Linked DNA regions of Medicago truncatula. The protein of the gene in region 3 interacts with the protein of the main gene of each other region in a pairwise test. Links are inferred from orthologs where the notes say so. Each region holds a gene or a part of one and is shown on either strand. Other genes may lie near its edges.

Region 1 (10,749 bases), about 7.8 Mb from region 3:
ACCAATACGCCGACACCGCTAATAATTTGAGAAAGTTACGTAATTCAGTATAATTAAGTGTCCGACACCGGGACACGCCTAATATGAGGAGTGTTCATGCTTTATAGCTTTTAAACAAAATATGTTGTCTGAAAGTACACTTTCGAAAAACATGTGTTTTAAATTGGTCGCAAAAATATTTTCAATGAAATAAAAAAATTATTTATTTCAAATGTTTAAATTTATGATACCTTAAGTCAGTAGAGCCAACTATGGGACCTTTTGATGGAAGAACAGATAAAGGTGTGGCAGAGGATTTTGAACCAAAAGTTTGAGAGTTTGTAACTGAATTAACCATGTTGATTCCAGTTATAACATGATTAGATTGGTTTGAAACTGAAATTGTTCTTGCTTCTTGATTGCAAACTGATTGTGCATCAGAACTTTGTATAGGATAAATTGTAATTCCATGCTTGTTTCCTACTTGCTTTATGGCCAAATTTTCCTGCAAAATATCAAAAGAAGTTAAAAAAATTAGCTAAAGAAGAAATTATAGATACACACTTTCAATGTGTATTAGGTTATGCGGCGGTGAAAATTGATTTTGATTAAAAATGAATTGAATGTAAAGTTGTTTATAATTAGATGCATTCACGTAAAAGTTATTTTTACGAATTTATATGTTGTTTGAATATTTTAAATCAATTATTTTTTTGAGTGTGTAATTACCAAAAAAAGTTTTAGCATATATATATAAATTGAAAAAAGCTAGAAGTAATTCAACTTCAAAGTAAAATAAAAAAGTATATGGTTGGTTCCACTCTTGGAGGAATAAAACTTAATTACAAAGATATAAAATTGATTTTGACCTATTTAATGTTCTCGAGTAGAATTCATTTTAACTTGAATCTATAATTTCTACATTTTGTCTCTACAGTTGATTATTAGACTCGAATATATCATTTAATCCACTTTTACATAAATCTATCGAAACATAAATCATTTTACATTCAACTCACTTTTAATTAAAATCAATTTTTATCACCATCAAATCAAACACAAACCAAATAGTTGTTTCACCTAATAATTAATCTGAAACCAAAATTGTTTCTCAATACAGACACCAAGTCTGTATTGAGAAACTCAAGTCTCACCTTAAAACCTAACGAGCACTCAATGTTCTTCAACAAGGTTAAATTATTTTGATATATGAAACTACCCCTTCATTTTTAAACAAAGGATTCTAAAGTTAAAAAAAAATAAAAAATAAAAATCTTTATTAAGAGAAAAAACCAACCTGTGTCACACCCAAGAATGATTTCTGATTAGAATCAAAAGCATCTTTAGTTGAAATAGTCATATATCCAGATGAAGCTACTGGATCCATAACATTGTTTCTTGACCTATCTTCATGAGTGTTATTCTTGAATGACATGAATTGAGGAAGGTTTGAAACCTTATTTGAAAATGACCACTGCATTCCTGAACTCCTAACTGCATCAAATTTAAGAACATAATTTATGTTAACACCTAAATCAACATTTAAAAAAAAAAAAATATTTGAAATAACAAGTTTGGATCGATTTAAAATACCTTTTTAAACAAAGAAAAAGCACAATGATGATTATATTGACAATGATCTAAGTTACTAAGAAATTTTTGTTCATCAAGCTTTCTAAGATCACAAAGTGTTGTAAACTATACTTCAATATATATAGACACATATGAATATGATATATGTCACACAAACCTATATTTCATCTAACCCATCAAAATAAATAAATAGAAAAACTTTAGCAACAGCTATGAAATAATAAAAAAATTAATCTACCATAAAAATATTTAGAAGATGCTCTTGTAGAACTTTCATCACAAGAATCCAGAGTCCATGTTTTTTAAAAGATTATATTACATATTATATATAATCATATCACATGTGACCTTGTTACTTTGTTATTAGTTTATTTTCATTGTTATCTAGGTAATAACTGGCCAGGTACGGCATATAAATTTAAAATACAATAACAAAAGTAGCAAGAAAAAAAAATTGTAATTCCTTATGAAGCATAGTATTATTTAATCATAGTCCATCATCATATAATATAATTATATAATGTACTAAATGGTACTATTCTTAGTAGCTTGCAATAATTTATGATATGACTTTGTTTTTATTAAATGTTTCCTTTGTATATGAATATTTTATGTGCACCTCTTTGCAACCAGCTTGTCACTAACATAAAAAAAATGTTATTTATTTCTCAAGGCTATGCATGCATCATCAATGCCCATGTTAGACCTTAGATTTAATATTAAACATGGTGATTTGTTTTTTTTGTTTGTTTATATACATTGATAAAGGCACATATTTTTATTCTTTTTAGACTCTCATTCATACATCAGGATCCACGATATTTTATATTAAAAAACATACGATAGTGGTATGTATTTCTTTAAGCATTTAAATATTTATAATTTTGCATCAAAATCAAGAAAATGAAGGACCACGTTATGCAATAAAATATATAAAGAATAAAGAGCACCACCAAACAACCAAGAGCACGTTTTCTAACATAAGTTTTGTAACCAACCATCTAACCAAAAAAATATAGCATTTACAATTTATAATTTATTATTATAAGCAAGAAATGTGTCTCACACTCACATTGACACGTACACCACATTGATCAACACTAACACATAGAAATTAATAATAATTTTATAAAAAAATGGTTTCCTTCTAAAAAAAAACTAAATGAATTTTGTAAAAAAACAAATTTAAATGAAATGTTTTATTTTTAAGAGGCAAAAATGAAACTTATATCAACAACAAAGACTTTGTTCCTTCCGCACAAGAAGTGCTAGAAGAGAACGATCATAATTATACAAGAGTTTAGTCAAAAGACTCAGAGACAAAAAAATCAAACACATGTAGCCTACACCCAAACAAAGCAAAGGACTAGCAAACCAACTATGAATCCCGAACACATAAACAATGTTAGCTGCCTTCATCCACCAATATGAATGACTTTGAATTTGAACCTTTTCGACCAATTGATACATAGAATTAAATGAAATGTTGATGCTATATTTGCTTCTAAATTATTTAAAATAAAATTATACTCTTAATTTTTCTATAAATAATCAGTCTTAAGATTTTACATGAGCTTAACTTTATATTCATTTATTTTATGATCAAATTTAAATAAATAAAATGTAATATTTATGTTTGAGCTAAAGATAGATTAAAAAAAAAAGAAAAAATGACATAAACCTAATCAATGAAAAAGAAATAAAATAATAAATATTTATAATAAAACAGTTTTTATCAATAGGGTAAAGTTATAAAAAGTGTAAAATAAAAATATCAAGTGACCCACATCTATTTTATTTTGACCCTATATCACAACACACTTTTTTTCTTTTTGATGCAATGGGTGGTAATGTATGTAATTCAAACTTATATGCACATGGACTATATATCAACTAGCTCAATAATTGTGGCTTCCCTCTTACAACACAGTTGCAAGTTGCTATTCCCTACCACACATCACACATCAACTTTGAACAATAAATACCACACATCAAACATCAACTTTGAACCATAAGTATCACATGGCCCTAGCCATGTGCTAATATAAGATTTTCCTTGCAAACATAAGTAGCTGTATGATATATACTTTACCTTATTAATTCAATTATGTAGCATAGGAGGCTGCAAATTGCAGCTAAAATGTCTTTTAACTAGACTAGATAACCTTAAACAAGTTCACCCTATGAAACCTTAAAATTTTTGAACTTAATCTTATCCATTAAAGGAAAAAAAAGCAAAAGAACATAAGGCTACAAATTCATTCTTCTCTTCCTTGTTCTTCATTATTATATTATTATCAGGGAAATATGTTAACAAATATTTTAAAACATTGTTTAAACAATTAAAAGTAGTAATTTTAATATAAAAATTTGTGTAATTATTATTTTTACATGTGTTCAACTTATATTTTTAAGATAAAAAATTTTATAATAAAATTGTTAAACAATAATACCCTTAGGACACTTGATAGCATAACCCTTATTATTATCTACAAGTTTAAGCTAAATTTTCTTCATTTTTTCATCTTTGAAACAACAAACAAAAATTCATTCAAAACATAAAACTTAAATCCCCATGCATGATTAAATAATAAATAAAAATATAAAACTTAAATCCCAAATATATATATATATATATATATATATATATATATATATATATATATATAAAAGACAAAAAAAAAAAACAGCTGTTTTAGTTAATTTAATGAAAATGCAAAATTTTCAAGTTTCACATCGCCATAATAATAGGTGTTAGTGCAAAATATTTCATGGAAAATAGAAAAAGATGAAAATTGATACCTTGGTCTTTTGGTTTGTTGGAAGCATCTTCTTTCATGGTAGTCCATGGACTATTTTTGGAACTGAAGCCAAGGAATTCTCTTTCCATTTGTGGTGAAAAAATCAGATAACAACAAATTTATTTTTCTTCAAAGTTGCAGAAAGAATAAAACTTTGACAAGTGCAAAGACCAGGCAGAGAAAAGTGAAGTGTTTGGTTGTGGTGAATGGAGAGAAAACAGAAAGCAAGAGAGTAGAAAAAAGTAGTAACAGAGAGAGAACACAACAGAAATATATATATATATATATATATATATATATATAATAATGAACATAAAAGAATAAAATATGCAAATTGTTTCCTTAAAAAAAAGGTGCAAATTGTTGGATGTATATCAATCTAGTCTATCAAATTATTATATAATAAATTGACAATTTTTTTCTTTAAAAACATGCTTTTAAGTGAATAATAATATGACACCATTAAGTTGGTAATTTTTGTAAGATTTAAAATTAAGTGAATAATAATATGATGCATTTTCCTTCAAAAATTTATAATATGATGGATTTGATAACAAACGCAGGGCTTCTGTATGTTAGTTTAATTAAGTAAATGATTTGTATAAATATTTAGAATTTACTTTTAATCCATACAAATTAAAACCATTTTTTTTTTGTCCATGTAACATTTTTCTTTGGCATTTTGAAGTACTAAAATTATTGAAGAAAATTTTAGAAAGACGAAAAAAATGTTGGTGGAAATTTTACGAAGACTAAAAGTCTTGACAATAATTCTACATGGACTAAAAAATATTAAATTTTATTCTGTAGTGATTAAATTTGAAGTTTTGAATATTTATAAAAATCATTTAGTAATTAACTCAAACAAAAGTTATAGTAGAGTTATTTCTGTAAAGAGGAAACTAAATATTAGGTTGGAAACAATGAAAAGACTCATTGGAAACGTGAAATACATGTGAACCGTTGGATGAAAAGATAATCGATTATGCAGGATGGTTGTTACTGTTGATAGACATAACAGAAAGTGAGTAGACATCTTCAACTTGGTTATTTTTCTGATTGCATGTGTTTTTTATGGTAAAACCAAACATCAAGTATCGTACTTAAATTACAATCTTAAGTAGCTTTTTTAATTTTATTTTTAAACGGCAAAATTTTATAAATAAACATCCTTACACAAGATAAATAGAGACAGACAAGATAAAAATACAACAAACAAAGAGTGTTGCATATAGACTGAACAATCAAAAGAAAACTTGTACATCTCAGACATAAAAACCACCAATAGAGATATTATCCAACCGAGGGATACCACCAAAACTCAATACAAAAACTAACCATCAACACCAAAATCAAAGTCTAACCTCGACACACCAACAAAAACAAAAACTTCATCCAAATTTTCTACTCGCACCAAAACTCCTCCAAAAAAAAAACCCTGACCAAAACCCTATAACCACACCTCATATGAGCCCAAGCAACCGACACACAGCCTGCCAGAGAAAACACCAAGCAAACAAAAAAAACTTAAGTCTAGAAACAGAATCCTGATCTCAAAGCAAAAGTGATCGCTCCACAAGACTCCATAAAAGAAATCACTAAATGCATCCCTTGAAACTCCAGTACACTGGAATACACCATAATATCCCAAAAACTTGAAACTAGATACTAATTCCTGATCTCCAAGCAAAAGCGATCGGCCCATAAGAATCATGAAGACAAATCCCTCAGACAATCGACAGGTGGAAGCGGTGGCGCAAACATAATTAGCTCGAAAAAGAGTCCAACTCAAAGTCAATCCAAATATAAACACTCAAAATAAAAAAAAATAAAAAAAAACCCAACAATGGGAAAAGAGCTAGTGGCGGGGATGGACCCAGTTTGAAGGTCACTACAAGCAGACAATGGAAGACAAACAAAAGAAACCCCCCCCCCCCCAAAAAAAAAAAAAAAAAAAAACCAACCCACAAACTCGTCATCACCATCACCACAACTAAAACTTACAACCACACACAAAATCAACATTAACATTCTCACTCCCAAACCAACAACATCAATCTCCACGTCTTGCTCAGCTCCCTAATTCCTCGAACAAGAGAAAAAGAAGATAGGTTTGGCGAGCCTAATCTAACGAACTAGACATTGGTACTTTAACATATTTACACTTGTGAAACTCACCAGCCACCGAAAATTTGGATCTCGATTCAAATCTACCATCACAAACTATAACGAACCACCATAAGCACCGCCACAAACCACGACGAGATCCATCATAAAAACCAACACCACCATGAACTACAAACCACCATGAACCAACTGCCATGATAAACTAGAAGCCACAAACACGCATGTGGTGTGGGTTTAGAACCACGTCTGTGGGTTACAAGCCCATCTGGGTAACAGTGGTACCTCCATGAAGAAGCGCAAGTATCATATGCTGCCGAAGCTACATACAATCTTAGGTAGTAAAATTACCAAGTCGTTACTATCTTGACTATCAAGATGTTACCAAATATAAAAGATACATGCAAAATTTAAAATGTATTTTCATATTCTAATACATCCTTGTAATTGAAATTGGAAGTTGCCGAATGTTGAGACTAGGTAAAAAGTCATCAAAGAGTTGCCGTGGAAAGTGCTCAATGAAGATGTCGACTATTTCATATCATGAAGGAACATATAACACACAAACTTGGCCACAAGTAATTTTTTTGAAGAATGAATATCAATCTCAATGTGCTTAGTGTGTTTATGTTGAACGATATTACCATAGAGATACACGACAATTATGTTATCACGACATACTAATATAACCTTTGAGACATGACAATGTAATTCCAAAATAATATTCCTAAGTCAACATTACTCAGATACTACTTTCATGACTCCTCAATATTCAGCTTCAACATAGGATCAAGACAATATAGGTTGTTGTTTGGTAGACAAGAGATGAGGTTGTCCCCAAGATATACAGAAAGACCTTATGGTGTCTAGACATTCATCCCAATCTGCATCAGTATATGTGATGAGCTTATAAATGGAGGAAGGATATAGATGGAGACCAAAATCAAGAGTACCCTAAATATATCGAAGGCAAACATATGTTTTGTTTTTATATCATGCATAAACAAACACATTTGTAGCGTGACATAAGAGATACATAGTCTTGTAATGGTCAAGTATTGTAGGGCTCCAACAAGTCTACTATACTCACTTGGATCATGATATGGGTTGCAAAAAGAGACACTATGTTCCACTTGTGTGTCCACTAGTGTAGCAGATGGTTTGCAAGAAGCCATACCCGCACGCTCAATATTTTCCTCGACATATTTCTTTTGTGACATAAAAATACTTCTTGTATGTTTGATAACAGAAATACCGAGAAAGTAACTAAGAGGACTCAAATCCTTCATAGAAAATTCAGAGCAATTTACATGTCATGGATTATTGAAGGAAATATGAGGACGCGGCTAGAATGATATCATCCATATAGAGAAGGATATAAGCTATATCATTACCTCAGTGGCAAATGAATAAGGAATGATTGGAGATGTTGTTAGAGAAACCCAAGTTAGCAACGTAGTGGGTAAGTCACTAATATCGAGCACAAGGTGTTTGTTTAAGTCCAAAGAGTGACTTATTTAGCAAGAATGCATAATCATGATGTTAAGGATTGTGAAAACCTGGTGGTTGATACATGTAGACAGTTTTATCAAGATTACCTTGTAAAAATGTGTTCTCGACATCTAATTAGTGAAAACACTATGATTAGTGATATAATAACATTGAGAACCATCCGAAAAGTGGATGCTTAGACTACGGGGTTGAAGGTTTCCCTATAATCAATACCATTTTTTTAACTGACCCCACTACCTACAAGATGGGATTTGCACCTCTTAAAGGATCTATCATATATATATATATATATATATATATATATGTCTGACAGTCCACAAACTTTGAATAATATTAGCATTAGATGGGCATGGCATTAAGTCCCACGTCTTATTTTCAATAAGAGCGTCATATTCTTCTTTCATGGCCATTTTTAAATTATGATCATGTAATGCATAAATGGGATTGATGGGCAAAGAAAAATTAGATTTTGGAGATGAGGTATAAAGATTAAAAAGTTAGAGGCTTAAAATTTTCATGTTGTGCTCTGGTGGTCATTTGAGGTGAGTGAGGTGGGTATGCGTTGAAATTATTTAGTTAGAAGCTTGTGGTGAGGTCAGTTATGGGGAAGGGCTGAGAGTCTGTGTTTGCGATTGCATTTGTTCAGAGGTAGGACTCATAGTAATGGTATTTACGAATGGAGTATTTGTGGTCGATGGAGGAGCATTTACAGTAGGGGTGTGTTGGTTTGTTCTAGCAGTGCTTTGATGAGGATAAGTTTTATGGGAGTTAAGAAAGGATGTGCGCTTGTATCCAAAAAATCATAGTTAGATGTTGAAGGAGCGCTGAAGGTAGAAAACAGAAATGTATTTTCGTCAAAATTTACATGCCTAGAAATGATTGTTTTACGACTCGACAATTTGTAACATCTATATCCTTTATGGTTGGACGGATAACCCAAAAAAAAATGAAAATACTTAGTGTTGGCCAAATGAATAAACAAGAGTATGAGTTTCAGTAAAGGATTTTGGCGAGGCAGGATCAAATTTAGCCATAAGGAAGGAGGAAGGCAATTTTGCCAGCGGCTAGGGTTAGTAGAAAATGTGTGTTTGTGTATGTGTGTGTGGGGTGTGTGTGTGTGTGTGTGAGAGAGAGAGAGAGAGAGAGAGAGAGAGAGAGAGAGAGAGAGAGAGAGAGAGAGAGAGAGAGAGAGAGAGAGAGAGAGAGAGAGAGAGAGAGAGAGAGAGAGAGAGAGAGAGAGAGAGAGAGAGAGAGAGAGAGAGAGAGAGAGAGAGAGAGAGAGAGAGAGAGAGAGAGAGAGAGAGAGAGAGAGAGAGAGAGAGAGAGAGAGAGAGAGAGAGAGAGAGAGAGAGAGAGAGAGAGAGAGAGAGAGAGAGAGAGAGAGAGAGAGAGAGAGAGAGAGAGAGAGAGAGAGAGAGAGAGAGAGAGAGATGGCGACTAGGGTAAATGGCTAGGGATAGAACATGCATATTTCATTGCTTGAACATGCATATATACAACAAAAGTCTAAACTACCAAGTTTTTACTGTTTTGATTACTAAGTCGTTACTAATTTAACTATCAAAAAGTTACCAAATATAAAAGATATTACATGTTATAATAAAAACTACATTAACTCAGAACTAACTTTAACATTTATTAGCTAACAATAACTAATTCCTCTCTTAACCTTTTTTTTTTTTTTTGTTACAATTCCTCTCTTAACTAATTGCAATAATTGTGGTATAAAATAATCATAAAAGATACGTATACATCATACATTTTTTCCCTAAAAAAATTCTCTTTTCTTTCTATTGTTCATATGCAGTTTTGCTCCATTTAGGGGCTTAGGCTACGGTAGGAGACCTCAATGGATCTTCTACCGTAGGTGACTACATTTTTTTTTTGGTTTCTAAAATGCTTTTTAGCCATTGGATTTGGAAAGAAGTTTTCAATGGCATAGATCTTTAGACATGTTAACCCACTAGTAATGTATATTACTCTCTTCGTCTCATATTAAATGATCTAGTTGATTTCGACACACGTACCAATGCATATGTTTTATCTTTGATATCTTCAATTCTCTGTTAAAAAAAATTATGAAAACTTAATATTTTAAAAATATTCATCGAGACGATTCCAACAATATCTTATATGATATTATTTATCTTTGTGAATTAGTAGAAAAATATGGTCAAAGTATATTAAGTCAATAATGTATATTGTCAACTATGTCATTTATTGAGGGACGGAGGGAGTATAATGTTTAATTTTTGTCTTTAATAAAGTAATGAGTAAATAGTCAATTCCCCCCCCCCCCCCCCCCCCCCCCGCCCCTCCCCCCAAATTGTAAGTTTCATCAATTACCCCACTGAAATTAACAAAACTTCAATTACCCCTCTGAAATTTCACAATGTTAGTCAATTTACCTCATCCGTCAAATTTTTCTGTTAGTGAACATGACGTTTTGCAAATATCCCCCTGAAGTTTTGCACGTATGTGCAAAATGCCCCCCCCTCCAAACTTAAAAATTTATATTTTTTTTTCTTAAAAACAAACAATTAATAGTTAAATATTAATTTTGTAGTTTGGAAAAACCACATACATATATACATCAAATTATTTTTAAAGTTACATGTGATTAATATATTACTGATGACCTGCAACAATAGGTAACTAATACTGGCTTGACCTACAAATGCAAGTTATAAGACCAACATAAAAAAAAAAAAAAAACTTGTAAATGCATGTCCTACCATAC
Region 2 (10,743 bases), on a different chromosome or scaffold from region 3:
TAAACAGTGGATAAATGACCAGTCATATTTGTTTGTTCCTATCTCATCTCATGGTGCAACTTCTGTTCTTCGTACGATTGAACATGTTGCAAGATAAATTTAGAATATTGACTAAATCTTCATATAATATATAACATAGAATAAGTTAGCTTGGTAACTCCATTTTTTAAACCAAAAATTGTTATATTCATTCGCTCCTATCGTTGACCAATACTTGTAAACTTGTTATTCTTTTCATATCAAGAAGCTGCTTAACCTGATACGGTGACTGGTCTAGAAACTGCAATATAAGATGTTTTTTACGGTAACACTTCATAAATATAGCTGATGTATCTGTTAGACCTCCTTACACAATCATCCTACTCTTGTTTCCCACATAATCTTTTTTTTTTTAAGGACTTGAAAGATCATGAGAAAATTTGACAAAAGAGGATGATACCCAATAAATAATCGGAAATAAGAGAAAGCTCTTGGGACTCCCATTGAGTATGAACATTTCAGCTTCAAACTCTAGTCACTGCGCTCTTTTGTCTTCGGAACTGGGATCTGCTGCTTGAACCGTCGAATTTCTGGTATCTTTAGCAAAAATACTTCCTTGATGTGCCCCTACAATCGGATATTTAGCAATCAATCAATAAAAAATTAAACAGTTCAAAAGAAATTAAACTTCAACTTGAAGACAAGAATTTTCATATGGATCATGTCGCAATCAAAATCAAGAAAATATTCGAGTTGATTCGGGCAAAGGTCTAAACTCTAAAGGAAATAGTGTGACCAATATTCTAATGCATTTAGAAAGAAAGGCATGTAAGGTAAAGAAAAGGATGACACAAAAAGGATCTAAAGGAAATAGTGTGACCAATATTCTAATGCATTTAGAAAGAAAGGCATGTAAGGTAAAGAAAAGGATGACACAAAAAGGATCGGTGGAATTGGTAGAGAAACTGTGCGCAGTTTTCAATCTCAACTGATTGTTCAAAGCTAATTTCGGTATTGTGTAATTTGAGTTGTCCGATCTCATATTAACGGCTGAGATCGTTTACTGCGTCAAACTGTGTGGGATACTGCATGCGATATTTTTGGGGTAAAAGATATTGTATTCTTTCAATCACTGCCAATTTGAAGAGGTATGGTAATACAGTATAAACTATAAAGTATCCAAATCAAACTATGTAGTATGCTTGAGGATTACCGGTTGGAGTAGATACACGGTCAACAGGTCCAACGGCGCGGCTAGAACTGCCAGCAGCAGACAACTTCCCATGAAGCTCTTCTGGGAATGCCACATTACTCACTAACCCTGTTTCATTTTCTCCACTATGCAAGTTACTATCATTGACCAGCTTTGCAGTAGATTTCGGTGAGAACGCTGTCGACCAAGATCCACCATTTGACCCAGCCAAAGCCATTATAACATCTGCCTGCATACGCCAAAGAGCGTGCAATTGTCATGATAAGCTGAATGACTTAACAGAACGAAAGATAAAAGACCTTCTGTTATGACTAGTGAAGATTTCAAGCCCAAGACAAACTATGTGTCTCTTCGAAAAAATTCCATTACAAGAACTAGACAAAGAAAGATCAAAGAAAATAAATAGATGAACCTATAAAATGAGTTTGCCCTAAATGATTTTAATGAAAAATTGGTTTTTGATAAAGCCCAAAGGCATGGATTGATCCATGTAGCCAACTCAAGTCAGAATTTAGGATATAACAATTTAACTGATCCTCACTGGATTTGGATTAAAAATTAAAACAGTGATGTTTCTGATTGTCCAATATTTATACATCAAGTCTAACAGTAACACTGGAAACAACTGATGATCAACACTTTCGGAACCAATAAACAATATCAAGCAACACACTCGCATTTCGAAGGACTTCAAGCAGATTTCTTTCTCGTTTTATTGAAATGGATATTTCACAGTTGAAGTGATTGATGGCCACTACAGTTTTTTTTACCCCACTTAGAAATCAGAATATTCCCTGCACCCTACTGTTTTGGGCATACATGTTAAAAAATCTATTGGGTTTTAATACTTGTTTTCACTACTATAAGACTAGAGTTTGGGCTGAATGAGAATCAAAGAGGGGTCTTGGGCCAGGCTTCACATCTATAAGCTATCATGACGATTACGAAAATAAGCTGAAAACAACTTATAGGTATAGCATACTATTTTTATAAGTTAATTCCAAATACTTATACAAATGACTAGGTGATAAGATAAGCTCAAATGAGCTCTTCCAAATGTAGCTTAAATGCAATGCTTGAGTCAAGACCCTGCTTGGTTAAGATTTCAGGAATGCAGATTACTATTTGTCACATTCCTATGCACTCTCAACGGAAGGGGCTTTATTGCTCCTTCAATACAACATAGGTTTGCATTCAGTGAAATTTTATACGAACAGACAGCTAATCAACTGGTCCACTCTGAGTGCATGTCTAACACAATCTTCACTGCAAATGCCAACTCTGTTAATTTTTAAGTCAGCCTTAAATTTCTTGATGGATTCGTGTTCGATGCAAAACGCTAGTGAAATAAAATGTATATGAAAGAATGCTACTTACTAACACACATACACAAGTGAATTTAACTTTAACTTAGCATCAGCAATGTGTTTGGAAAGCCAAACATTTTTTTAGAGAATTTTGAAAACTTCCAAATTTCAGCGGGGAAACATATTGAAAAGATCAAGAAAAAAATCCTAGAAAGAATAAGATGAAGAACACTCCCTAAGCTGACTTTATATACTAGTAATGTCTTAACTAAATCCATAGAAACTATCATCCAAATACATTCCTTATAAAGAACACTCCCTAAGCTGACTTTATATACTAGTAATGTCTAACTAAACCAGTAAGAGAAAAAGACTGTTTTCAAAAGTGACTCCACCGGTGTACCCAAAGCTTAAGCAAATGTATGATTGGTTGCTATGAAATCTTTTTCTATTAAATATTAGGGTTAATAGGTCTTTACCCCCCCTGTAATATAGGTCATTTCTGGTTTTCACCCCTGTAAAAGTTTTATTTTGATTCACCCCCCTGTAAAATATTTTTGTTTTGATTTACCCCCTAATAGGCTAAACAAAAACAAATTTTATTTTTTTTTTCAAGAAATTTTCGTTTTTGTTTGGCCTATTAGGGGGGTAAATCAAAACAAAAATATTTTACAAGGGGGTGAATCAAAATAAAAACTTTACAGGGGGAAAACCGGAAATGACCTATATTACAGGGGGTAAAGACCTATTAACCCTAAATATTATAGGTTCAGCACATCCACCATATTGTGCAATGACTACCAAAATAGGCTGTAGAAACAGCAACATAAGTGTTGTACGGAAATTAACTCCGACTATCAATACCATATTTCAGCTGAAACCTGATGAGTTTAAATTTAACTGTAAGTAGATTGAATGATCTTTAAATCAACCACGAATGAACCGCAGAGCGAGTTTTTTAAGGCACAATTTGTTACCCATGATGATTCACAAATCCAAACTAATTTCAGGCCTTATTTCACTAAATGCAGTTAACAGATATGACACGTTAAGAATACGAGGTCAGACCTTATGTTTGTGGACATCATCAAAAACATGAGCTTGACCTCCATAAAAGATAGTCATCTGGCGGCTGGCAGCTGTTAGCCCATGTTGACTACTGCTCAATGCCAAAATGCATAAAGTCAATCAACTTCTTTTTCCAAGGTAAAGGGAGTGAAAATAAATAGAAACAAGGTGAATTGAGCAACTGTATATATAAGATAAATTTACCTTGGGGGCGTGGATGATTCAATTATGTTAGTTAGAGGTTTTGGTCTGCTTCCACCGAGCAGCACTACAGATGAGATTTTATCAGTAGCAGTAGAAGCTGTGTTTATGGAACTTAAAATTCCAGGGCCTTTGATTCCAGTTCTAGATCCTTCATCAGCGGCAGGCTGAGAGATAAATGAAGGGCCGACAATGGTATCCCTAAGCTTGTTTGAAGCTAGTTGGTGTGCAAAAGGAGTCAACTGTCCTCCACGCGGAGGATGCTGCATGGAAGGGCCAGCATTCATGAGAATAGACCGTTCCCATTTATTCGCATCGATCTTCGTGTTGGCGGGAGCATGAAATATCTGAGAACTAGAAGATGGCTTCATTGACTGCATACCAAGTAACACTTCGTCATCATTAGGCCTTCTGGATCTCTCTCCCCCAGATGCATTTCGGAGGACCTGTACGAAGACAGGACTTAAGACATCAAAGAAAATAATATAAAAGCAAAAGTGTTTTTTTTTTTTTGGCTATTGAATATATTAGAGGAAAAGAATTAAGTGATATTTTAAAGTAACCTTCATCAAATGTGAGTTTTGAAAGGAATCAGGGACCATTTGAAAGGCATCTCTGGAGGAACCCATAAATGAGGAATCAGAATTACTTCTTTTATTCCCCACTAGTCTGTTACTTATCTCAGTGCCAGAAAAATCACTTCTTGGGCCATAGAATGGAACTCCCTCAAGATGATTCGATACCTGCTTTTCTACCAAATTGATGAGGGAAAAAACATTACATTCCTTTTAAAGATAACATAGAAACTTACTATAAACAATGTGTGTTTACAATTATAACTCTTTCCAGAATAAGAAACCAAAAAAAGAAAAATCAGACCAACACAAAAGCAAAAATTTTGATAAAACCTAAAAATTCATATCATTGTACTTCCCAATGCACAAACATTCACATGACATAACAAAGTTTTCAGTTCAAAATAATAGTATTTTCAGTATAAAATGATTAAATTCAATTCTCTGAGTCTAAATTATTTCATGGAAACAAATAATCAAATCATACACCATACTCTAAAGCAAAATAAAGTCCAGAAAATCATGACCATAAATTTGCATACGAAGGGGAAAACAATCAACTCCAACTAACTTGAAACAACCCAAATCCAAAGACACAAAAAAAAAATGAGGGAATAAATTGATACCCCACCAAAAGAGAAAAAAATGGAAAGTAAAGAAGTTTAGTGGATGAGAATAAACTCGGTAAAAAAAATGAAACAAGGGGGAAATGTGGCTAAAAATGAAAAGTTTAGTTGTTTAATAGTACTTACCAGAAGCGGTTTCGGAGGTGGAGGAGAAAGGGCCACGAGCACCGGCGGAGGAGGCAGATGCTGATGCCTCCGGTAACCTAACGTCGATGGAAGTATCAGTTGGCTTCATGCCGAGAAAATCATGGAGGAAGTGTTGGGTCCCACTGATGTTGTTGTTGTTGTTGTTTTGAGACTGTGAGTGTGAGTGAACCATTCTCAGAACCGCCATTGATTACCCATCTCACTCTGCTGCATAGCTGTGAAGTACGCTAGAGAGAGAGAGAGAGGAATGAATCAATCGTTTTCGGTGAAAAAGCAAAAGGTTCTTTCTTTGTGTTGTTAGAAAATGTAGTTGTGGAGTTTTCTGTTGTTGGTTGATTTTAATGGATGCATGTTTGTCTTTTTTGTACAAAACTTCTCTTGTATCATTCTCACACTCTCTTCGTGTCTCTAACGTTTGTTTCAGTTGAGCTGTAATCAATTCAATTCGGGACCTTTTGTCAGTTTTTCTTCTTACTTTTTTACTTTCAGACCCCTCCTTGTAAAATATCAGCTTAAAAAATAATTTAGTTTGTACTGTGCTACTTTTTTTGCACTATAGTAAATGACTACTTCATTTAAGGGTTAATGGTGTTTTACCCCATTAACCCTTCATTTAAATTTCATTGAAGTTGGAATCATCACACTAGCTTTTTTTTTTTTTTTTTTTTTTAGAAAACTTCATATGAGAAGAAAATATAAATGCAATCAAAAACTCTTGATTAAACGCATCATTAACAACAATCTTTGAGTATGAGAAGAAGATTACTTGATTTAAACTATACCGAACATTACACAATGATATAGGGTGCTAGTCCTTCGTAGATATTGTCTAGTTTAGTCATCAAAGCTTCAACGTGTTAAAAAAATGATTTTTTTTTAAGTGTGGACGACATTTTTTTTTTGAACAAGGCAAGATGAAATTTATATGAGAAATGATATTTTAACATCCATTTTTTAACAACTTTTGTGACAACTCTCTCTCATACTCTTATTGTACTTTTATTCTCTCTCTTCATTTTTCTCTCTCTATTGTTATTGTCCAATGAAAAGAGAGGAAAAAATTGTCACTAAAAGTTGTTGGAAATTGGTTGTCAAAATATCATTCCTCAATTTATATTAAAGGATAAAAGATTAAGGAAGAGCAACAAAGTTCAAACGCAACAATTCACCGGTAAGAGGAAGTAAAGTAAAAATATCTTATCAACGCTCAAACAATTTAAAGGTCGTTGCTACCACCCATATAACTCAATAGAAACAGTTACAACATTTTTCTTCAACCACCGCATCGATAAATATGGCCTTGTCCACCAAGCGAGGCATATATTTTGGGGGTCAAAACTGCCAAAGATCCAATACATAGGGGGCTGTTTTGTATTTTAATTAGTTAGGGGGCTAAAATCGTAACTTTTGAAAAGATAGAGGGCCAAAAGCGCAATTAAACCTAAAAAATAAACTCAAGTTTTTTCAAACGATTCTTTCTATTGAGAACTCGCTAACTATTTCATGCTAAACACTTTAGTTTCTCGTTTGATGCTAAAACAACTTTAATTATATTGTGTTTAATTTTAAAATTGTTCTAGAGATATAGTAAACTAGAGGTCCGACTAACGGAAATTTGTATTCATCACTACACCATAACACTTTTTTTAAGTACAAGTTTTAAAAGACAAAAATAATCTTTTGTTTATCAAACATCATATAAAATAAAAAATTGTTTGATATATTAAAAGTTTACCGTGTGTTGTTATATCTTATGTTGTGTAAGTATTGTTATGTCTATTATGAAAAATACTTATTTTTTAATAGATCAAAACATCGTGTGTCTAAGATACTCTCTATCACACCCTTCATCATTTCCCTATGTTATATACTGAAGATTTATCTCAATCTTTTATAATAAAAAAAAATGATTATGTAAATAACTATCCTTATGACATTTGTAAAATAAACAAAAAGTAGGAGACTTACATTTGATTCAACGATATTTTAACTTTTAAAACATAAAATCCATCATTTTTCACAATCTCTCAATGCAATATTTATGTTTTTATCCTTTTAACCAGTGTCCTAAATTCCCTAAAAAAAACTAGTGCCCTAAATTCCTTTTAACATTTCCAAAAAAAAAAAATTATGTAAAACTTAAATAAAACAAAAAATAAATACTGTTCAGAAGTTAAAGTTAAGAACAACCATTATTTTAAAAGTTGTCAACAAACAAAAACCACTACCATATCTTAGACTAATAATCCATCCATTTCAAACTGAGTCTAATTTTAGCTAAAAAGATGTTTTAAAATGAATGTCGCTTTTAGTTTTCAATGTACTATTAATTACTTTTTCTCAATAATACCCCTTAATTATTACTACGCACACACTATTTCCAAAGTACCACATTTTACTTTAATTTATAATGATGGGAAATGCACCAATAGTCAATAAGACTATTTTAGTAAAAATGTCAAATCTATAGACAAGACTATTGCATTTCCTAAAACGACATTCATTTCGAAACCGACATAGTATTACAAATGAGGAGGATCACATTAATCTCGTAATTATCTTGTTGTTTTCATGTTAAATTAAACAAGAGATTACCCTAAACTAAGAATATAAATACTCCTTCGTGTAAGAAGTTAAGAAGAGGAATAAAGAAAGAGACACAAGGGAGGGACCACAACAACAACAGCTTCAGCGATACAGGTTGTTCTCTCTCTCTCTCTCTCTCTCTCTCTCTCTCTCTAACGTTATCTTTGTGTTCTACAGTGTTATCCCCAATTCTTAAACCCTAACCCTAACCCTAATTTCATTCATTGTAATTGGGCCTTTTCTTTTTAGCGCACTCCTTAATCAATTCATCGTTTTTCAATGTCGGTATTGTTATCATTTGATCATAATAACTTCAATCTTGTTCTTAATTTCCGTTTTCATTAATCGATTTAATTCACATTCTCAACCTGAATGAATTAACAAATAAATGTGGGTTCTTAATAAACGAATTCTTGATAAATTTTGACAAATTTAACTGTGAGCTTGTTTAAAGTTATGATAATCATGTTTTCCCTCTTTATGGTGCGTCAAGAACATTGTTGGAATTTTCTCTAACTGATATTTGTGTATTATTTTTTGTGGCTTCAGAATGTGAATTGTTTCTGATAAGCTGAAAAGATGCTTGCGAAGGGTTCTGAACTTGGTGGGAATATTTGGAGAGAATTGCCAAGAAATTCTTCATCAGTTGTCTCAAACACTCCGCAAAAGAGATGTTTTGATAAATTATGCAGTCAACATGTAAGTAATCCAGCAGGATTCTCCACAGACTGGCGTTATCATCCTGAAATGGCATACAACCGTCACTGGATAAGAAAAAGAATGTAAGTGAAAGTGATTTAATTTTCATAGAAACGTGGTTGCTTCAGTTTGCTTCAACTTAAGATTGCAATTGAATTGAGACTATGCTAACTATAAATTTTATTCAGTTTTGAAATCATTCAGAATGAGCAATTTGCCCCTATGCTGGAATTATTGCTACTTACCACTGCTGCTTCAAAGGTTTGTTTCTTGAAATGTTGTGTCTGAACATAAAGTGCTTTTTTTTGCTAACAACATTTGCATATAATAGTATAAAATGCAAACTATACCTGTATTCTGTCAATTAAGCACAGTTGTTTTTCTACGAATTTGGCAGGAGGAATATATGAACCTAGAGACGTTGAATCAGCGTATGCAAGCTCTAGTGGGTCTTTCCAAGTCTGATGCCGCTGGTTATTATGACGTTCCAGAAGGGAGACTATCTGACCCTTTTATTGTTCATGGCCTGCCTTGCGTTCCTGATGATGGTTCGCCAACCCCCCTACTTGCTGATATGTGTGTGCTTCCTAACTTACCCGTTTTGTATGGTGGAAGCAATCTGGATGCTAACACCAGATCAAGTAGCAACTATTTTCCTCTGAAACACGCAAATAATGGTATGTTTAAATTAGATTGTGATTTCTCCCCAATTTTTAATCCTTATTCGTGCAATATTGATTTCATCTTTGCATATTACTGACTTTGTGCTTCTTTCTTTGCTAGAATTATTTTTGTTTTTAACAAATGCATTGCTTTACCCATTTAATTTGCTACTTTTGCAGTGGAGATGAATCTGTCAAAACAGAGAGATTGTTTGGGGTTTATCCAAAATAACGAGTCTACGAGTTTTCCTACTTCAATGGGAAAGTCCATTCAATTTGAAGATTTACATTCGACATTCCCTAAACTTGTTTCAGCGGATATTTCGGAACAATCCAATCTTTCTCCTGGCACGAGTTCGTGCTTAGAACTGGAAGATACAAGGCGAAATAAATCCCAGGAGTTGGATTTTCAGAACAGTTTCACTCATGCCATGTTACAACCTACGAAAAGACAGAAAATGACAGAGTTTGCTTTTGACGTCTCTTGGGTTAATGATGCAAGTTCTGATCAATCGACTTACGAGATGGCTCAATCTTGTTCTTTTGAAACACTTTCAGAAGTGCAGCAACAGTTAGAGACTATCGAGTCTGGAATGATTCCCTCAAAAGGCTTAGAGTCTGGCATGATATACAGCAGAAACTCAATGGAAATCAACAGTAGGCCTACTCTCAGGAAGGAGCTTAAAGATATTGATGACGATGAAGAGGACATACAAGGCAGAACTGGATTCATCCAGGAGGGGGTAAATGCTAAAAAAGAACTTATTATTGTTCATGTGGGTGAAGAGGACATTCAAGGCAGAACTGGATTCATCCAGGATGGGATAAACGATAAAAAAGAAATCATTGAGTCAAAAGATGATCAAGAGAAGCAAACAAAATCCCCAAATACAATAGTTGAGGCTGTTTCCTTGATTGATTTGTTCACACGTGATCAAATAGAAGAACATATTAGTAGTCTGAGAAAGGAATCTGTTCAGGTTAGTACACCACCTGCCAGTGTTTTCAATTACCTTGATCTGTTTATGTATGACTGTTATGATTTATGTCATGAACCAACTATTCCAAAAGGTAAAGCTATTTGGTTAAAGCTCATGAATGGTTCTTCTTTTAATCATTGGATGTTACGTATGCATGTTATCGTGAAATATTGAATGTCTGTATTTGCGTGCATGCTCAGCTGACAGATTTTATATACATTTGTCAATTTCTGCAAAAAAAAATTAAATTTATTTTTAGTTTGTGATTTTTATTAAAATTACATTTTCTATTCTGCAATTTACATATATACATATTTCTTTTTGCTTTTGAATTTTTAAGCCATATAGAAGTTAACAATTCTTTTAACACAGATTACATCTAAGGAGGAAGCAGGAATTGATGCAAACACATGCCAATTATGTCAAAGGAAAAAGCTTTACTTTGCACCAGTGCCAATTTTTTGTTCATGTTGTGGCGTACGCATCAGGAGAACCTATTTTTGTAGAAAAGAAGAAGAATTTGATGCACAGGGTTGCATTTGCTCCGTGTGTTATAAAACTTCTAAAGGTGGGAAAATTACATTCAATGGGGCATTTGTTTCTAAGACAAATCTCGAAAAAAAGAATAACGATGAAGTTTTTGAAGAACCCGTAAGTTTCAATATCGATTGCTATATAATTCAGCTTTATATACAGAGAA
Region 3 (11,208 bases):
TGTAATTAATTGAGTAGTTAAGTTGGATGAAATTTATTAAATAAGGGTATAATAATAAAAAATAAAAATAAAAAGTTGCATTGGTATTTTAAAGTAACAGTTATAACAATTATTTTGATATAGAGAAAAAATATTAAAATGATCATTATTTTGAGACGGATGGAGTAACACCTTTGGTCAAAACAATTAAAAAAAATCCCATTGTTTTTATGGTGACAAGTGACAACATAAGAAGAGATAATGCTAATGATACGTGAAACACACGAAATAGTTATGCTTGAACAATTGTTCTTTTCTCTGGCATCTTGTCAAATAAAAATTAAACTAAGTAACCCAAAAATTAACAAAGTTATTGATGATTATTATACACTGCTTGAAATAGAAGAAAGGGATAATGCTATTGATACGTGATAGTGTGATATAACATTGCTTGATATACTATATCTTTATATATTGGGATTAAGTCATGACAAGTGAGATTACTTCTGAATTTAAATTTTCATTAAATAATCACTTATTACATAAGAGATTATATATAACTTGTGTCGATAAGCTATATTAAGAAGAGCTTATAGAAATAACTTAGAGAAAAGCTTGTAGACATATTAAAAAGTTGTTTTGATAATTAGTCCAAAAATAAAACAAGAATAAAAGTTGGCACAAGCCTTCATCTCTTTCTATATTATTATTATCTCTTGCAATAAATGAGGCTCCGTTAGTACGTGGAGAAAACAAAGGAAAATGGTTGTTGGATAGGATTTTTAATTCCATTTGAGAAAAGAGAGATCTAAATATTTTAAGGATTTTAAATTAATAAAATCATTTTTTTAAAAGGTCAAATGATTCCATTTTCAATTCATTTGAATCTACAAAATCTTATAAAATCATATCATTTAAGATTTTTAAAGAGTGTCTCGTTAAGATTTCTCGTATTCTAAAACTCACAACATTCACAAACCATGCACACCAATCACTTGTGTTAATCCTTGGTGAGATATTTAACCTTGCAAAATAAAAGTAAAAATAATTATTTTGGGAGTTTCTTTTCCCGACCTGTGTTCAAAAAAATTACATGTGTTGGCGGTATAAAATCAAAAAACTACATTTTTTTTCTCAAAAATATACTTTCGAAGTGAGAGTAAAAAATTATCTTCAATTGGTATTTTTTTTTTTTGAAGGAATTGGTAAGTTGACTCATCTCTGCAAGGGTGTAGGTTCAACTCTCATTGTCAGCGTGAGAATCTCTTATATAGATGATGATACCATTCTTTGAATCTAGAAGTTTGTCATAACCCTTTTTAATCTATCGTATTATATTTTCTAGGTATAGCTAGTAAGGCTCTAAAAACCAATCCATTTCAAATATTTTCAAGCCATTTTTTTCTCTTTTCTAAATCCTCTAATGTCAAGGGAAAAGTTAAAATTTAAATTGAGTAAAAAGAGTTTAATTAGTATACTCTCTCATTGTACAATTATTTTACACATACATCCAATTATGTTTTGTCGTGTCAATGAATGAATATGACGACTCATGGGTCAAAAAATTGACGTGGCAAGGCATCATCGGATGATGTGTAAAATAACTGTATACCATCAAAGTATAATAATTCATAAAAAAAAAAAAACTTACACGACAAAATTACATGCTTAATTACTATTTAATATAATAGATGATGCTATAAAGCTCAGCCATTATTAAATACAACTACAATTTTGATTGCAGCTGCTGCAAGTAAATAAAGTGAAATAGACAAATAGAAAAAAAATGGTAATAAACTCATTCATCTCCACAAAAATTATGGAAATTCCAGATTCTCTTGTTGAGAACTACAATATATAGAGTACAACCTGGAGGGTAGATGATAGTAATCTAACTGTGAGAAGAGGAACCAAGATTACCATTTGGTAAGCTTCCCAAAACCGAATTGCTATCTGAATTGGCTTGTTCGTCATTTGCATGACGAACAAAATCCTCAGGAGTCATGTGAGAACCATGACATGCACAAACGATTCTGATTTGGTTAGTGTTGTACCTGTAAGTAACACCTGATATTGTCCTTCCATTTGAGCTTGTGGTGGATACCCAAGGCAGATTTGGGTAGGAACCACTTCCTCCGAATTTCACATCCGCGGTAAGCCCTGGCTTAATATTTGAAAAATCAATGGTGGAACCTTCACCTTTCGGCTGTTCTGGTGCATCTTTGCCCCTGAGGTTTGTGCTGCTTCCTTTCACGTCTTCAGGCTGTGAAGAGGAGCCTTCTTCAGTGACACGCTGTTTTCCATCACCTTTGGTTCGTTCTAGCGGCCTGCCTTCATATGGCATGGCCTCGGATATATTGTTTAGGTGTAACGCAGCTGCATCGACACAATAATGACATAATGTAATTTCCAATAAAAACTCGGTAAGTATCAAGCTACAACAATAGAGCTTGCGCATGAAAAAGAAAAACAAATGTCTATAACAATCGTTAACTTTTCATATATAAATCAGATCCAACCCAATTCAATATGCAAGTCTTCCAACCAATTTTAGAATATTTGGTTCAGTTTACAAAACATTTTAACCAACAATTTATCAATTTGACTTAGATCTTTGAAGTTCTGAGTCAGGTATATTTGATTAATTAGAAATAATGTCCATTCAAATCACAATTACCTGAGTTAGCTGGACCTCTCCCAGCAAAGGAAGGATGAAACTGTTGGGGACGTCCCCATGAGCTATCCTTATCCAACATGGGAAGCTGAACATATGGATGTCCAAACATCATCGGCAAGCTTCCATTACTCACAGATTGAGCTCCTGCACGTTCACCGGTTGTAGTTGGCATCATATGCATCACTCCAGGTATTTGAGGGTTTGGTGCCCCAACAGAGTTTGACTCTTTTGCCGAAGTGTAAGGTCCACTCATCATATTCACTTGTTGAGCAGAAAAGGGAGCACCATAAGTCATGTTTGCATGCTTGAAATCTTTTTCTGTGGATCCGGTAAATCTCTTCTGCCCATTGGCGCTTGAGTCAGCGACTCCACGAACCTCTTTCGAAGCATCAGAAGAAGCACCGACCCTAATGAATCCTTTAGAACCATCACTATGGTTGGAGAGAGGCCTGGAGGTAGAGTTCTCAGCTTCAGAATCAGCCACGTCTTCATTTTCTGCAGTTGAACCATCTTCTGTTAAAGAAATGTGAGATGCTCTTGCCCTGTCATGTAAATCACCATGATGAATGTCGCTGTCATGCCTCTTTAGATTCCGTATGTCATCAAAAGACATCCTTCGCTTATTTACTGCCTCTGACCGTTTATTTTCCTCAATTTCAATTGGTTTATTATTGTTGTTTCCAACCAGAAATCCTCTTCCATTTAAATTCAAAGAAGCATTATCGTCATTGACCTTTGAAAGGTCACTAAAGAAATTCTCCTCGGGCTTTGAGGAATCAGCCCTTCGGCTCCCACCGCTTGATTCAGGCTTCTGAGGATCGGTATTAAACATGCTCTTAAAATCATCAACCATCTTGCCACCTCTACCGTTTTCTTCTCCCCTAGTATCGGAGGAGCTTCCATTCTTACTCTTTGCTTTGGCTGATGAACCACCAAAAGATAAACCCAAACTGAGCTCAAGCCCGCTATCGTCCTCCATATTGCAATATCTCTAAACCTATAAAATCCAAAACAGATCAAATAGCTAAATCATCATATCTTCCTCACTAAACCCATGCATCAACTTTTAACCGTCCTCAAATATCTGCATTAAGTTTGATTTTAAACAAGGCAAACCATTATTAGTTGCATGTTACACACTCAAATAACTAAAATATTAACAGTTTTGTAAACTAGCAGCTATAGCCAAACTGAGCTAAAGCCCGCTATCGTCCTCCATATTGCAATATCTCCAAACCTATCAAAATTCAAAACAGATCAAATAGCTAAATCATCATATCTTCCATACTATACTCGCATCAATTTAACCATCCTCAAATATCTGCATTCAGTTTGATTTTAAACAAGGTAAGCCATGTCAGTTGCATGTCACACACTCAAATAACTAAAATATTAACACACGGTTTTAATTTATTATATACAATGAAAAATGATTTACATTGGTAATCAACTGGAATAGTTGAGACATTACAAACGTTTGACTTAAATCGTATTTAGAGATCGTTTGTGACAACTGAATCACTTTTATAAATTTTCATTCGTTTGTTACAGAATTTCTATTTAGAGATCGTTTGTGACAACTGAATCACTTTTATAAATTTTCATTCGTTTGTTACAGAATTTCAAAAAAATGAGAATCCGAAGGAAAAAAAATCTAAAAACTTCCTCAAATGAGAAGCTGTTTTTAGTAGCTTATCAGAAAATCATTTTTTTATAACTGATTTATTTTTAAAAAAAAAATAAACTGTGATTTTCATTCTAGTAAACAAATACAATACAGCTTCTGCTTTTTCTATAAAACTCTAAATATTAATCTCTAAATTATTGAGTATCAAAATCACTTTTTTTTATAATCCGTAACAAACAAACCCTTACTCTTGAAGTCACACATGAATAGTTGTGATCCGTTGACGAAGTAAAACATTTTACATTGACCACGTATCAAAATTCAACATTTATCACAATCATAGTTTTCATATACTCAAACACAAAATTAACAGTAAACAACTCATTGCTATTTCTATACTCAATGACAGATCAGATTCCATTAACAATCCACAAAATCAAAACACAAAACTATCTACTTTTCAAATAAAAACAACAAACAAGTAACCAAATTCAACTAAAAAAACATCCAAATTTAGAAGCATCAAAAGCGAGTATATATGAATCAGATAAAAACCTCACCTCAATCCTGATCTAAATCCTCCCTATCTCACCAACTCTTTTTCAACTGATTTCAACTATTTGTTGCTTCCAACTCCAATCAGAAGCAGCTCAAAACCCTAGAATACACCAAATCTATAGCTATATGATCAACCACTTCTGTTCATCAAAATCAAACCTTTATAGTATCAATTCGTTCCTTGAATGGTAAGAAAAAATGGTTCAGGATCCGATCGGAGTATAAAAGCTTAATTTGAGAGATAGATAATTGGGGAAAATATTAAGAAAAAATTGTGAAAAACTGAAATTAGGGTTTATATGCAAATTATTGGAGAGTGCAGAAGAGAAAGAGGGTAAAAGGGGAAATTGAAAATACCTGATTTGGGAGAGGATTGATCAAACCCTAATTGAGGTTTTCATTATGCAGAGATCAGTGGAAATTGATAGTGGAAGCAAAAATATAGGGAAAATTTTGGTTATAAGGATAATATATTTTTTTGGTAAAAAAATATTTTAAAATTATAAAAATAAAATTGTCAATGTTTATTTGCCAATGTGATTCTCATGGTTTAGTGAAGCTGCTATGAATATGACCGTACCATGTCATAAAAAAAAATTACTTTTTAAATTTAAAATTTTATTAAAAAAGAAAAAACAAAGTAACCATTGGAGTTTAATATAGTAAAAGAAGTTATAGTCTAACCAACCAGGTCGAAATCCTAATCGAGAGGGAATTGGGTCGATATCGAAAAATATTTAGTTGGTCGCATGAATTTAGACACATTATTTAGGGTGTGTTTGGTTTGAGAGAGAAGTTGTGAAAAGAGAAATAGGTGAGAAAGAAGTTGTGAAGAGAGAAATAGATGATAAATATAGTGGATTTGATGTGTTGTTTGATATAAGAGAAAGAGAAGAGAGAAAGAAAAGAAAGAAGTATGTTTAATTTTTGAAATGACAAAACTATCCTCTTACATAAAAAAAAAAAACAATGCACAATTTTATGTTATAAATTTCAATGAAAATAAATTTTTAATGTTGTTTACAAAAACTAGTTGCTATAAACAAATTATTTACTAAGTTCGTCATAGTCATTGTACATGTATCCATAAAAAAATAAAAAATAAAAATAAAAAAACTCATTGTGTACCCTATTGAAGAACTACCTAGCACATGGACAATATGTATCAAATTAAAAGGGTAATAATGGAAAAATGGGAAAAAATGTTTGTCTCTCTGCATTTCTTCTCATGACTGTGAAGAAAAGAAAAGGTGGCAAGGGCCCACAAAATTAATCTCTCTCTTTAAACTCTCTGCTCCACCAAACAAGAGAAGTTGGACACTTCTCTTCTATCTCTCTCTTCCCATCTTCTCTCTCTTGTAACTCTCTTCAAACAAACACACCATTAGAGTTGAACATTTTTGTTTTTTGTCATGCATTTGAGAAAATGCAAAAAGTGATAAAATTAAATATTAAAATAATTATATGATATATATTTTTCTTTTAAAAAAAGGTATTTTGTTACATGTATAAATAATGTATTCAAATGATTGTGATCTAATAAGACTTCGTTGGTTATATTTAGTGTCTCGAATAGAATTCAATCCAATAGAGGAAAACTTAGGAGAGAACGTTATGTATTGTTCTTTTTCTTAAAGAATTGATCAGATATAAGATTGACTTAGTGGTTAAAGTGAAAGTGTTAAGAAGTTAAACAATATAAGTAGATCAATAATTTGATCCTCACTCACATTATAATATTAACAAATACAATTTTTTTTATGGAGATTTAGATATTTACTTTTCAGCCGCTTCAACCAAATGTTAATGTTAAGGAGACGATTTATATTGATAGGAAAAAGTCTCTTGATGGCGGTACAACGCCTAATAGTGATGGGGTCTCCAGAGGACTTGGTGATACTTTAGGGTGTGGTGTTGTTCACAATTCTAACTGGAGATGGATAGGAGGTTACATAAAGAAGATTGGAGCTTATGATGTCCTTTATGTTGAGATGTATATCTATCACCACTTGGATCTTGTGTGGAAGGAACCGTTTCTCATCTCATATAGGAAAGTGACTTCAAAATTCTAACTAAAATGATTATAAATGACTACATGTTTAATGGGAGGATTCTCACTTTGGTTTGGCACATTCACAATCTTTTATTTTGGATCGACATAGCCAACATCACCACACTTTGGAGAGAGGAAAACTACTGTGTTGATTGGCCGACCAACCTTAACTTTTCTTTAAATTCTTTAAATTATACTATTATGTGGACTCCTCCTAATGAACTTCTTGGATAATGTTTTCAGAATTTACATGTTTAAAAATGTTTGTTTAATTTCATAGTTTTACTTTAAACTTCATCTCTCTTTTGTACTTAAAAAATAAATAATTTAGGTTTTAAAATTTTAAATAATTTATTATTAGATCCTTGCATCAATTATTTTTTAAGGAGGTCCTTGCATCAATTATAAATTCATAAAGAAATCAATTATAAATTATTTGAAAGGTGATGAACTCGAATAAAAATTATAAGTTCATAATTAAATATGTTAAAATAATAAAAGAAATTTTTGCTACAAAATTAACTTTCCTCTGTCATTTATCTTCTCTCTCCTCTAAAAATAATTTTTTTAAAAAACATATTTCCCAAAAAACACTTAATTAAACGAATCATTTGTTTACTACTATTAGTTAAATCATTTATTCCTTTTTTCACACTAATAAAAACGAATTAAACCCTATAATATTGCAAATTCAGTTTCATATTTCTATATTCATCATCTTCCACATTTTTCCTTCAAAATTCATCTTCCACATTCATCATCACATCACTCTGTACAGTCCTTTTCCATGGCTTCTTCTTCAATTCGTCCATCACTCTCTTCACTCAACAAATTACCCTCTTTCTCTTCACGCAACCTCTCTCAGAGATTCTCTCTTTTTCATCTTCGTAATGGTAAGTTTATTCGTTGACCCTTTGGCAAATACTCCTCAAAGTTTTTGTCTTTTTCAATCATTCTTTCGTAAATTTTAATTTTTATGGAAAATTTAAAAATGGGTTTTTGTTTTTTTGATTTATTTTTGCATGGGGAAGTTATGTTAGTTTGCGATTAGATTGCATTTGCTGTTGTATTGATAATTTGACATAATGGAATGTGTTTTTGACAAAGATTTTGTATTAGTGTTGTTGTTGCATGTTGAGGATGTGTATCTAGGTGGGATTGACACTTCATATTAGAGACATGTCTGGTGTCCTGCATATGTAGATGCTAATGATAATGAAACACTCAAACAGACCCGGACACTAGACATAACACTGACACGTTGATATCAGTAATAGTTTGAGAAAATTGAATAATTGAATGTATCACATGTCTATCTACCCAAGACGTACACTTCATATTGAAGAGTCCGATGTCCAACACATGTCACATGTTTGTGTTGGTGCTTCATTGACACCAACACAGACACAACACTAACACGTTCACACCTGTAATAATTTGGGAAAATTGATTGCATTTGGCATTATATTGACAATTTGACATATGGCATGTGTTTTTGGGAGTGATTGATATTATTTCTGTTGCATATTGAAAGTGTGTACCTAATGTAGCATCTTCATAGGGACGCTTTATTGCCTAATCTCTGGGCGTTATGGGGAACAATGTTGGTTTTGTGGCTCATTACTGTTCTTTACGCTTTTTGAGGGTTTTGGTCTAGTCACCTCTCATGCGTTTATTTTTTCCTTTTTTTAATAATATATATTGAGCAGGCAGTAGAGGATGGGAGTTTCAGTTTCATGCCAACCTAGTTGGGATGTTTATGTCTCTCCCTGATGCCTAACCTATCTCAATGCTTATAAAAAAAATAAAATTTAGTAATTCATAGGTATGTATTATAGGTTAATGAACTGTGATTGCTTTTGGGTTGTAATTCAGGTGTTAGACTACTGCCCCAAAATTTTGGTCTTAAAGCATCTAGGTTGTTGAGACATGATAGTGGAAGTATGAGAGTGATGGCATCAAGGAGCATGTCTCAATCTGTTACACAGGAAAATGCATTAGATTGGGTGAAGTGGGACAAGAGAAGAATGCTTCATGTCGTATATCGTGTTGGTGACTTCGACAAGAGCATAAAGTATGTTATATTTGATACGAATTAGTAATTTAGTTGCAAACTTATTTATTTGTTACTGTGAACATTCTCATGGTAAAAACAAAAACTTGTTGGTGATTTCAGATTTTATACAGAGTGCCTTGGAATGAAGGTGCTCAGAAAACGTGACATGACAGAGGAGAAATATACTAATGCCTTTCTTGGATACGGCCCTGAGGATGCACACTTTGCGATTGAACTAACATACAGTGAGAATCGACTAACTTGTTGACTTTCCTCATAATTACAGAACTTTGCATTCTTTGTAGTTACTTTAACATCCCCGAGCAATGGAAATTCTTATGTTAAAACTGTTTTTCTCTTGATGATGTTTCAGATTATGGGATTGAGACCTATGACATTGGAACCGGATTTGGCCATTATGGTATTGCTATGGATGATGTTAGTTTCTCAAGCTTTTATGACTACTTGTCTATCTTCTATGCCTACTACTCTCATCATTGTATAGAAAAAACTCCCCTCTAAAATTATGTTATTTCCCGTTGACGTGTATTTTTGCGTTTGAACTACGCCCTGTTTGGATAAACAGCTTAATTAAGTGCTTATCATAATAGTGTCTCTGTTTATGTATAAGCTATTTCTATAACAAAAGATAAAGTAAAATCAAACTGTTTCAATATAAGTTATAAGCTGTTTCCGCAAGCTATCATGTAGAACTTATGGAAATAAGTCGAAAAACAACTTATGCACATGTCATAAATTGTTTTCATAAGCTCCCTCAAACAGTCTCACGAGTGTGTATGCTAGTAGATAAGAAACCCTTCTCCCAAACATAGTTGTAGTTTTGGACTTGGTTATTTCTTTGAATTTCCTCTATTGATCTTTTGACCAATGCATCAATGAAATTTCTTTGTCCTTGTAACCATTTACTAGATTTCAAGAGTCGTGGACATTGTGAGAGCTAAGGGTGGCATAATAACTAGAGAGCCTGGTCCGGTCAAGGGAGGCGACTCAACTGTTGCAGTTATTGAAGACCCTGATGGTTATAAATTTGAACTTTTGGAAAGGGCTCCCTCTCCCGAACCCCTGTGCAAAGTAATGCTTCGGGTTGGTGATCTTGATCGATCCATAAAATTTTACGAGAAGGTGAGAACCAATGCACTTTATGTTGGATTATAGTCTTCTCATTTCCTATACAAAACATTAATTTGTTTATGCGATTGCTTGTTGTATAGGTTGTTGGTATGGAGTTGCTTCGTAAACAAGATGATCCAGAATCCAAGGTACCTGGGCATCATTTTTGTGTTATATATCCTGGCTCTGATGCCTTTTTTGTAACTCATATACCTTGAATTCAGCAATTAAGATGATTAGGATTTATTGTTTATATCTAATCATGGGAGGGACTCTTGATGCCTAAACTTTCTTATAAAATTTAATCTGAATGGATAAATTAAGCTTAGGGTAATCAAACCCCCTCTCCCCCAACGCCTTTAACAAATTAACCACCAACATTTTCCTATAAAAAAAATTGTCTCATGTTTTAACTTACTTTTTTTTTTTAAAACTCGGTATCCGGTCCATCAACTGACTAATCCGAGGGGACCAATCCCACCGCCCACTTGTGGAGGGCCCATTTAAAGCCAAAGCAAAGATTTGTATGGACTAGCCCACCGAAATTGACACCAGAGGGAATCTGAACCTGAGACCTTGAGAGGAGCAAACTCCAAGATCCCAAGCCAACCACCAGGCCAACCCCAAATGGGTTATGTTTTAACTTACTTACCGCTGAATGTTCTTGTATTTCATAAGGCATTGATCCTCACCTTCTCAATTACCAAAACATTATGTTTCAACTGTTTCGTATGGATCGGTAGCGAAAGTGTTGTTTTATGATGAAGATTAAACTATCTATGTCAACCTCTGATGAGCATGTAGCCCAGTCACACTTCTTTCAATTTATTCTCATTTTTGTTCAGATCTTCAACTGTGTTGTGCTGATAGATTCTTTTGATTTTGAATTATATATATTGAGAACTTCCATCTTTACAATTCTTAGTTTCAACCTTGCTTTCTTTGTTGGCTGAAAATTGATTTAGGCATTTGATCTCCATCACATAACCTGCAATCTTGTAATTGCTTCCCTTCTTTTTTGGCAGTGTACTGTTGCAATAATGGGTTATGGTCCAGAAGAAAAAACTACTGTTCTGGAATTGACTTACAACTATGGAATCACAAAATATGATAAAGGAGATGCATAT

The links.
Region 1: the proteins of ninja-family protein mc410 (region 3) and protein TIFY 6B interact in binary tests that used the Arabidopsis thaliana proteins (3 or more experiments, as listed by UniProt). The link is inferred for Medicago truncatula from reciprocal best matches to the Arabidopsis thaliana genes NINJA and JAZ3.
Region 2: the proteins of ninja-family protein mc410 (region 3) and protein TIFY 8 interact in binary tests that used the Arabidopsis thaliana proteins (3 or more experiments, as listed by UniProt). The link is inferred for Medicago truncatula from reciprocal best matches to the Arabidopsis thaliana genes NINJA and TIFY8.

What each region holds. Positions count from the first base shown.
Region 1 is NC_053047.1:33,186,706-33,197,454, forward strand, and holds the start of protein TIFY 6B, read right to left. Parts: upstream 4,643-10,749; 5' UTR 4,463-4,642; coding exon 4,375-4,462; intron 1,712-4,374; exon of another isoform or gene 1,573-1,711; intron 1,474-1,572; coding exon 1,277-1,473; intron 485-1,276; coding exon 231-484; intron 1-230. UniProt on the Arabidopsis thaliana protein: Repressor of jasmonate responses. Jasmonoyl-isoleucine (JA-Ile) specifically promotes COI1-TIFY6B/JAZ3 interaction. Acts as a negative regulator of MYC2 function. Feed-back regulated by MYC2.
Region 2 is NC_053044.1:53,324,843-53,335,585, forward strand, and holds protein TIFY 8, read right to left. Parts: upstream 5,562-10,743; 5' UTR 5,304-5,561; coding exon 5,096-5,303; intron 4,520-5,095; coding exon 4,332-4,519; intron 4,215-4,331; coding exon 3,772-4,214; intron 3,659-3,771; coding exon 3,568-3,658; intron 1,422-3,567; coding exon 1,193-1,421; intron 607-1,192; coding exon 515-606; 3' UTR 204-514; downstream 1-203. Other genes in the region: histone acetyltransferase HAC12, read left to right, coding at 8,282-8,484, 8,590-8,662, 8,799-9,078, 9,244-10,043, 10,416-10,694. UniProt on the Arabidopsis thaliana protein: Repressor of jasmonate responses.
Region 3 is NC_053047.1:40,944,894-40,956,101, reverse strand, and holds ninja-family protein mc410, read right to left. Parts: upstream 5,350-11,208; 5' UTR 5,199-5,349; intron 5,022-5,198; 5' UTR 4,844-5,021; intron 3,978-4,843; exon of another isoform or gene 3,894-3,977; 5' UTR 3,636-3,893; coding exon 2,657-3,635; intron 2,356-2,656; coding exon 1,871-2,355; 3' UTR 1,640-1,870; downstream 1-1,639. Other genes in the region: probable lactoylglutathione lyase, chloroplastic, read left to right, coding at 7,682-7,787, 8,770-8,968, 9,071-9,195, 9,324-9,388, 9,881-10,093, 10,183-10,230, 11,107-11,208. UniProt on the Arabidopsis thaliana protein: Acts as a transcriptional repressor. Negative regulator of jasmonate responses. Connects the JAZ proteins and the non-JAZ protein TIFY8 with the TOPLESS corepressors.